2 linked regions of the Cricetulus griseus genome follow. The protein of the gene in region 1 purifies or fractionates together with the protein of each later gene. This does not show direct contact. Links are inferred from orthologs where the notes say so. Each region holds a gene or a part of one and is shown on either strand. Other genes may lie near its edges.

Region 1 (3,970 bases):
AACCCTATTATTATTTGCAAATAAATAATGCCCACATGATTTAGAAGTATGTATAAAACAATAGAATATGGAAATAAGCTAGATGTTAGGGTTGCTATGAGGCTACTGATGTCACAACTGCATCACCACCAAGTACTCATGTCTCATTGAAAAATCAATGTACTTGTTAATGCATTTGTGCTCCAGTATTATTTTATAATCCTATATATTATATCCTATATGAAAGTCCATATAAACCATCAGGTTTGGATAAATGCATCAGTAGATTTTTCTATCCCAATTCCCAACTCTTGCTTCAGCAAACATTCTCTACTTCACTGGGAGGTACCTGGTCCTGAGTATTTGTCTGCTGGCCACCAGCTGTGGTTAAGGTGTGTAAAGTGACTCAATGTTATAATGTTCTGAACTAAAGGGAATGGGAACCTTCCCTTCAGAAGCATTTATTTACGATCAAACTAAACGAGAAAAATAAAAGAACCCCAGTACCAGGCTTTTTAAGATTCCGGAAGAAGAAAATTAAGTTTCTTTCACCAACTATGACCTCATGAGACGATCACGGTAGAACAAAGCACCAGAGTCGGAAAAGAGTGGAGCATGATTTCACTGAGCCTTGACATGGAACCTTTTTTTATTTTTTGATAAAAATGTTTTCATATAAATTTCATCTTAAACTACTTGTAGAATGAAAATTTTTAAAAGTAAAAACAGTACGCATTTTCCTTCCTATGTTTATAGTCAGGAGCATGCAGTCATTTTCTGGTTACTGAGTTTCTCATACAAACAGATATAATGTCACTTTTCAGGGAAATGTACACAAGGAAGTTGCCATAGTACCAAAATAGTTATGGGTGGGGGCCTCAGGACATAGACATGTGTCCTTCCAAATAGTCCTCATACATTCAAGGCGCTGGTTCAAGTCTAGGTTCTGAAACCACACGCTAACAGACCTTATTACACCTTTGGTTCTTTTCTATGCAAGGCTTTCGAGCGACCAAGTTCAATCAAGTGCTGTGGCAGACCTGTGCTGAAGCCTTTCATTGAAATCTTTAACTCAGTCTCTTTCCTTCAATTCCCCCACCATCACATAAGTCAGAAAACAATGCTTAAAACAAAAAAAAGAACAAATTAAAAAAATTCTCAAAGGCATGTGGAAGTCAAAGGAAGGAAGAATTCATGGAAATAAAAATAAATCCAAAACAGGGGTCTATGCATGGACTAAAGGATATGTCCTATAAGAACCTAACCTCTGATTCAGACCCCATGAGAAAGGGGTTATGCACCCCTCCCTTTCCTAAACACCTACATAGGTCAAGAGTTCTAACATCTACAGCATGGGCCAGACGTATAATTGGCAGTGTTGTCCTCATCTCTGTAGCCCGTTGTCTGTAATGGCAGCTTCTACATCCCTCCTCCTAAACCCTAAAGATCTACTTTGAGAGATCCTGGAGGGAGAAACAGCAAATTTGTTCTCCGTTGTGTCTGGGGAAGGACCAGGGTATTACAGACCCAGTGCCTGGCTTAGAGGCTGTTCCCAGGCAGTGGCACTAGAGCTGGGGGCAGAGAGGTCCATACACACACAGGCTCTCTTAATCTGGGACTGTCCATGGGGAGACAGTCACCATTTAGGGCAGTAAAATGTCTGCACACCATGAAAAGGGCTGGTAGGATGATGTTACCTCATGTGAATAAAACCAAATGACCAAATGTAATCTGCCATAGACCAGGACGGAACAAATTGTTTTTGTTGATTGAATGAACTTGGATGGGACTAAAAAATCCCCATTTGTTTTTATAGACTACCATGGTAACAGACACAGAGTTACTACAGGGGTTCACAAACTGACAAATGAGTGGGGGACACTTATTTCAACTACTCCAGAAATAAAGACTATTGCTAAAACAACAACAACAACAAAACCTAAAACAAACAAACAAGCAACCCCCCCCCCAGGTAATCTACCTACTAATATACACAAAGGCTTCAGCAGAACTCATTTTTTTTGTGTCATGGGCATCCCGGCACCAGGGGGAAGTGATGAGATGACCACACGGCCAATTATTAACTGACTGAAGGGGTAGATGGAGAAAACCACCGTCCTAGTTTTACATCTGACAAAGGCCACTGAGACCACAATACAAGAAGCAGGTTTGGATGAGGTACAATCTTAATCTGAACACAAGGACAATGCAGAGCAAGTCTCAGCCATCATCAGCTGAAGGTGACTCTAGAGAAAGAAGAAAATGAAGCAAAGACGAGCAAAGACTGCTTCATCACGTGTGCTCAGGGGACTGTCCATTCTCCACTTCTGCAACCCAGACACAGATCCCATGTCTTTACTGAGAACTGTGTGTACCAATGACTCAGATCACACAGTGTGGAGGGAAACGGATAAACCAGCCTCTGGCCTCGAAGAAAACTGGTCATAAGGAAGGTGACAGTCATTGAGTCCCCCGAGCCTCAGGCAAGCTCGGTCCTAAGTGGCAATCTCTGAGGATCAGTGCAGCAGCCAAGAGTCCCTTCATCTGCTGGATCAATGAGTCCCAGAATTTGGGGATGAATGTGCTTCACAGTGGCAGTCAGTGGAGGGCCTGCAGGTGGGCAATTGCTTCTTGAGCCAGTTAGCTTATCTCTTGGTCATTCCAACATTCTCCTACTTTTCCTGCTTTACAACACAATGGGAGTATCATAGTACCCAGGTCTCCTAGAGTACACGTTTATACTGAATAGGCCAACACACAGAAGAACAATTTATATCCTCCCCCTGGTGAGTGCATATGGGGCCCCACACCTACATGCGGGGGAAGAGAATTAAGGTGCAGGTTCTGAAGGGGTCTCCTATCCCCCAAATATCTTGCTTTCTCCTTCCTTTCAGGAATGAAAGATGAAGACTGCAGTGTGTGCATTTCCATAGAAGCATACTTCAAAGGCCGAGGCTGTGAACCATAACCAGAGTAAACCCTGTGAGGCTCCTTTGGGGTAGTGGGCATGTGGGGACAGAGGCTGGAGTTGTTTTCCAGGGCAGGAATGATTAAAAGCACAAAAGTCTTGCCTATTACACACTGATGGGGATCAACCACAGACAGGTGCAGAGAGGACAGCACCAAGTGAAGTCAAGGCCAATTCCAGGGTTGAGAAGATAAGACAGGTGGACCTGGGCAGAATCCCAGGCACAATTCCCAGTCTGACTCCCAGCAGAATCTCCTCCTGGATACAGAAGCCCCCAGGGCTTAAAATGATGTTCAAGCTGCAAGAATGTCTGGCTATAAAAGGCCTCCATCGTATTCTCCAAAAAGAAGAGAGTGAGCCTCTTTGTATTCATCTCGCATCTCCATGATCTCGCCCGATGGTCACAGGTTAGTAGGAGCTGAGTCCGCCTCTAAAAGTGCACAGATATTCAGTAAAGATGAATACGATGCTTCTCTCGCTTGTCGGAAAGTTGGGAGCATCTTCTCTCCTGCCTCCAAAAGCTGGTTACAGAGGTTTCTTCATTTCTCTTCGGATAACCTTCATTTGTTCCTCAGCAGCATGTACGATAAGCACTTTCATCTCTATGCCTGAGGCAGACTCTTCACGCATAAACCTGCATGTTGCTGTGTGGTGGCTCAGACATGTGTGTTCCAGGCCCCCGCTGACCTCCTCCTACACCTCCAGGAGTAGGGCTGGTGGTCACATCTGACCAGTCAGAAGCAGAGTGGGGGGAAGAGCTTGACCATTGGTCAGGAGACTCTGGGGATGGTGTCAGGTAGGGATGCTCACCCTGGAGGTGACCGCCGTGACTGGGGGTTCGCTCAGCAGCATTTGAGGAGGCATAGCTGTGCTGGGAGGGGGGTGTGGGGTACTTCCCCACAGAGGCTGGGAATGGATGATAGGTTGGGACAATGGTTTGAGCTACCTGCCCCTCCTGCTGGGGCATCATGGTAGGTGGGAAAGCCACACCGGGCAAACGGGCCATCTCTGGGATCTGGTACA
Region 2 (4,302 bases), on another chromosome or scaffold:
TTTGAAAGAGCCTGCCAGGGAGGAGGGGCAGCGTCGGGGACGCGGGCCTCTAACCTCTCTGCGGTTCTTCAGTCCCCAGGACAGAACAACCGAGGAGAGCTTAGGCGGCCAGCGTGGGAGACGCGAGTGTCCGGAGGCCGTGTCCTGCGCGCCAGACTAGCGGTGACCGCGGGTGGGAGGCGCAGGCCGCCCAGCGTGCCTAGGGTCTTCCGGCCTTTGGCGGTGGGAGACGCGGCGTCAGCTCCAGCTCCAGGAGCAGAGCCTTTCGTCGCAGCGAACATTTTGCAGGAATGTAAATGAGCGGGTTTTGCGCTGGGGGAGGGAGGCGAAGGGGCGAGGGCGGAGGCAGAGAGGACTAGGGGGCGGGGAGGTGGGGGCGGGGAGGAGGGTTGCACATTTTACAGCTCACTGACCATTTGGCGATCCATTGAGAGGAGGGTTTGGAAAAGTGGCTCCTTTGTGACAGCTCTCGCCAGATTGGGGGGCTGCTCATTTGCATCTCATTAGTTATGCGAGCGGCCGGCGGGATTTAAGGGCGGCAGGCTCCTGCCTCGGCCAGATCCTCCGGCGTGCACCCGCGGTTACCCTGTCTGACCGAGGCAGGTCACGGGAGAGCACCGGTGCGGCACGGAGCCTCCCACGCTTCGGCCTCCGGTCCTGGGTGTGTGTTCTCGCATGGCATTGGCTGAATTCTTGGGGAAGACGCGAGGCTTTGCGGTGGCGCAAGAGATACCGGTCCAGAACACTCTGGGAGCGGCAGCGGCCGCCGAGTGACGCCCGGCCGGGAGGGAAAGCAGGGCGCGCGCCGCAGTTCTTGCCACCACCGCCGTCCGATCCCACCGCGCCCCTCGGGGCCCCGGATTATCGCCTCACCGGTGGGATTTCCAGACCGCCGCTCTCTAATAGGCCTCTGAAGGAAGCCACTGCAAGCTCTCTTGGGAATTAAGCTGAACATCTGGACTCTCTTTCCTCTGTGTCTTCTCTCCTTTCTCCTCCTTTCCCTCCGCGAAGAAGCTTAAGACAAAACCAGAAAGCCGGCGACCCTCACCTACTCGTGGACTGAAAGCCAGAAGAGGAAACCGAAAGTTGCCCTTTCTCAGTGCCTCGCAGAGCTCTGTCAGGGACGTATCTGAAGCACCGCACCCTCTTTAAGCAACTGGCTCTGGTTACCACACCTGGAGTCGAGAGACGCCTTTTCCCCGGAGCTCCTCGGCTCACATAGACTTTCCTGGCATTCCTGGGTCTTTGAAGAAGAGAGAAAAGAGGATACTCTAGGAGAGCAAGGGCGTCCAGCGGTACCATGGGCCGTCGGAGCGCGCTAGCCCTTGCTGTGGTCTCGGCCCTGCTGTGCCAGGTAGGGGGCCGGGCGGGGCTGCTGCGCGGTGGAGGGAGGGGAGCCGGACGAGCTGATCAGCTGTCCATCCCCAACTGACTCCGGCAGCTACGACCCCCGAGAGCTGCCCGGCAGCGGGCGGCTCCGGACGGGCGCTGCGGTGCGCTCGGCCTCTGCGTCCTAGCAAGGGCCCGCGCGCCCCGGGCCCCTCCGCCGCCAGTGCGTCCTCACGCCCCTTCCCTGCGCAGGTCTGGAGCTCTGGCGTATTTGAGCTGAAGCTGCAGGAGTTCGTCAACAAGAAGGGGCTGCTGGGGAACCGCAACTGCTGCCGCGGGGGCTCAGGCCCGCCGTGCGCCTGCAGGACCTTCTTCCGTGTATGCCTCAAGCATTATCAGGCCAGCGTGTCCCCGGAGCCACCCTGCACCTACGGCAGCGCGGTCACGCCAGTGCTGGGTGTCGACTCCTTCAGTCTGCCTGACGGCGCAGGCATCGACCCTGCCTTCAGCAACCCCATCCGTTTCCCCTTCGGCTTCACCTGGCCAGTGAGTGGGCACCTGCGCGCACCCGGCTGTGCCTGGAGGGGTAGGGTGGCGGGCGGGTGGCTGGCAGCGGGAGGAAGGCAGTGGCCACTGATAAGGGTTGGAGAATCCCACAAACACACGCCTGTGGTCTTGACTTCTTCCCCGGAATTGACCTGCAGTCTCTGGAGGTTGAGGAGGGAATATGGAGCACCAGAAGCCTTGGCAAGCCCAAGGCATTTTCTCACACATCTCTGTTCTTATCTGGAGGGTCTAAAGCTTCTCCCTTCCCCTCAAGATTGGGAGAGTTCTTGTTCCATAGCTCCCAGGCCTGATTGTGTCACTACTAGAGCAGTGCTCTCCACCCTCGAGGTTCCAGCCCCAGAAAACTAATGACAGACACAGACCATCCTCTCCTCTTCCACCACCCCTACCTTGTTGGCTCAGTACTCTCACCCCTTTAAAACAAACACAATATTATGTATTAACATATTAAAGAGAAAGCACACACGGGAAAAACTCTAAAATTATTCTGTTTTCTTAAGGAAAGTGTTAGGAATTGACCCTCTCTGGCACCTCCCCTTCCTCCTCCACACTTGTGGTTTATCATGCACCGTCTCCCCCTTTTCCCAGGGTACCTTCTCTCTGATCATTGAAGCCCTGCACACAGATTCTCCGGATGACCTCGCAACAGGTAAGTCTCCAAACCTGAAAACCGTGCAAACTCCTTGTTGATACACATTCTATTTTGCCCACTCACCCAAGTCCTCTGATGCCTTCATTCTGCACCTGGAGTTCAGAGTCCAATCCATGTTGACAGCATCCCCACCACTCCCTCTGTTCCCGGGCTCTGAGTGTTATCAGAACCAACCTGAGCATCTTCTCTCTCAGAAAATCCAGAAAGGCTCATCAGCCGCCTGACCACGCAGAGGCACCTGACTGTGGGAGAGGAGTGGTCTCAGGACCTTCACAGTAGCGGTCGCACAGACCTCCGGTACTCTTACCGTTTTGTGTGTGATGAACACTACTACGGAGAAGGTTGCTCTGTGTTCTGCCGACCTCGAGACGATGCCTTTGGCCACTTCACCTGCGGGGAGAGAGGGGAGAAGGTGTGCGACCCTGGCTGGAAAGGCCAGTACTGCACTCAACGTGAGTCCTCAGGAGGATGACTCCTAAGGGTCCATGTATGGGGAAAGACACAGGACTTAGCAACAGGGGATGGCACAGATGGCTCAGTGGGGAAACTGAGGCCTAAAGAGCAGAAGTGTCTTGCTAAGGTCTTGTGGGCAGTGGCAGAGTTAGGCTCAACTCAGGCATTTTAACAAGGGAGACCTTGTATCCACTGTAGGAAGCTGCTTTTCTTCACAGGGAGGAGTTCAGAGACAAGGCCAGGGGTCAGGAAGTAAGGCTGTGCTCTCCCTAGGGCCTTTGTATTAGAAAGGGAAGGGAGGAAGGAAGGGAGGGACAGAGAGGGGATGTGGAGGGCTCATTTTCCAACAGTTCTCCTTGCTGTGACAATGTCTCTTTGGGAAACCCTCCCTTTCCTCCTCAGAGTTAGGGTGCCTGACCTGCCCACAGAGTAACCCATTTCCAAAGATCCCCTGTGTTGAACCCTGAGTGTCCTGTAGGGAAGTCTTCAGTCCTTTGGGTGGCAGGAAGCTGGCAGGTGGGCTGAGTGAGGCACAGAGCAGGGCCACGGGGTGAAAGGCACCTGGCATGTGGTCTAAATGCTCATAGCACAGTCTGTAAAGAAATGCAGTAACTGATGTCCTGTAATGCTCTTGCAAACCAGGGGATCAGGGCCATAGGGAGGACTCCGGCTCTACTTCTGGTTTTCAAGGACCTCAGTGGGCCACCCTCCAGCTCTCTGAGGCCTCAGCTGTTCAACCTGTAGGAATGGCATTTCCTTCCAGTCAGGGCTTGGTGAACTTTTGTTCTCCTGCCCTGGAGCAGTTGAACATTGGACTCTGTGAGGCCCAGAACCTCTCTGTCAGTGCCTAGAGGAGGATATGGAGCAGCTTTCTAGATTTAGTTTTTGCTTGAGGATGAAGGGGTCCTCACTCCAGTGAGAACCTGAATGTCATTGTTGCTTAGTTTCCCATATCCTTGAGGGCTTTGGAGCTCCTTTGATGGCCCGCCTTGGCCAGAGCTGTATGTTTTCTTAAGAGCTGGAGTTGCTGATCATTAATGAGTTTCATAACCAGGGAAGTGAGCCAGCTCAAAGCTCCAGCCTATGCCCCCCACCCCCCCATCTTCAGGCTCTCTGGCCTCCCACTGTAACTTTCCTCTCTAGGGGCCAATGGTTCTGGGGTAGCCAGAAATATAAACTTTTCTTCTTATTCAAACGCTGGGGTTTCTCCCCGCCCTTGCTTACACGTGCCATAGATTAGATCTCTCTGAGGATAGGCGGTAGGGACACTGTCTGTTCCCATTGGTAGAAGGGTATGTGCA

The links.
Region 2: the proteins of Notch2 (region 1) and Dll1 purify together in Homo sapiens (affinity purification with western blotting; 3 studies listed by BioGRID). This does not show direct contact. The link is inferred for Cricetulus griseus from reciprocal best matches to the Homo sapiens genes NOTCH2 and DLL1.

Annotation. Positions count from the first base shown.
Region 1 is NW_023276806.1:58,331,807-58,335,776, forward strand, and holds the end of Notch2 (neurogenic locus notch homolog protein 2), read right to left. Parts: coding exon 3,570-3,970; 3' UTR 605-3,569; downstream 1-604. UniProt on the Homo sapiens protein: Functions as a receptor for membrane-bound ligands Jagged-1 (JAG1), Jagged-2 (JAG2) and Delta-1 (DLL1) to regulate cell-fate determination.
Region 2 is NC_048595.1:294,338,832-294,343,133, reverse strand, and holds the start of Dll1 (delta-like protein 1), read left to right. Parts: upstream 1-1,300; coding exon 1,301-1,354; intron 1,355-1,581; coding exon 1,582-1,875; intron 1,876-2,484; coding exon 2,485-2,545; intron 2,546-2,742; coding exon 2,743-3,000; intron 3,001-4,302. UniProt on the Homo sapiens protein: Transmembrane ligand protein of NOTCH1, NOTCH2 and NOTCH3 receptors that binds the extracellular domain (ECD) of Notch receptor in a cis and trans fashion manner.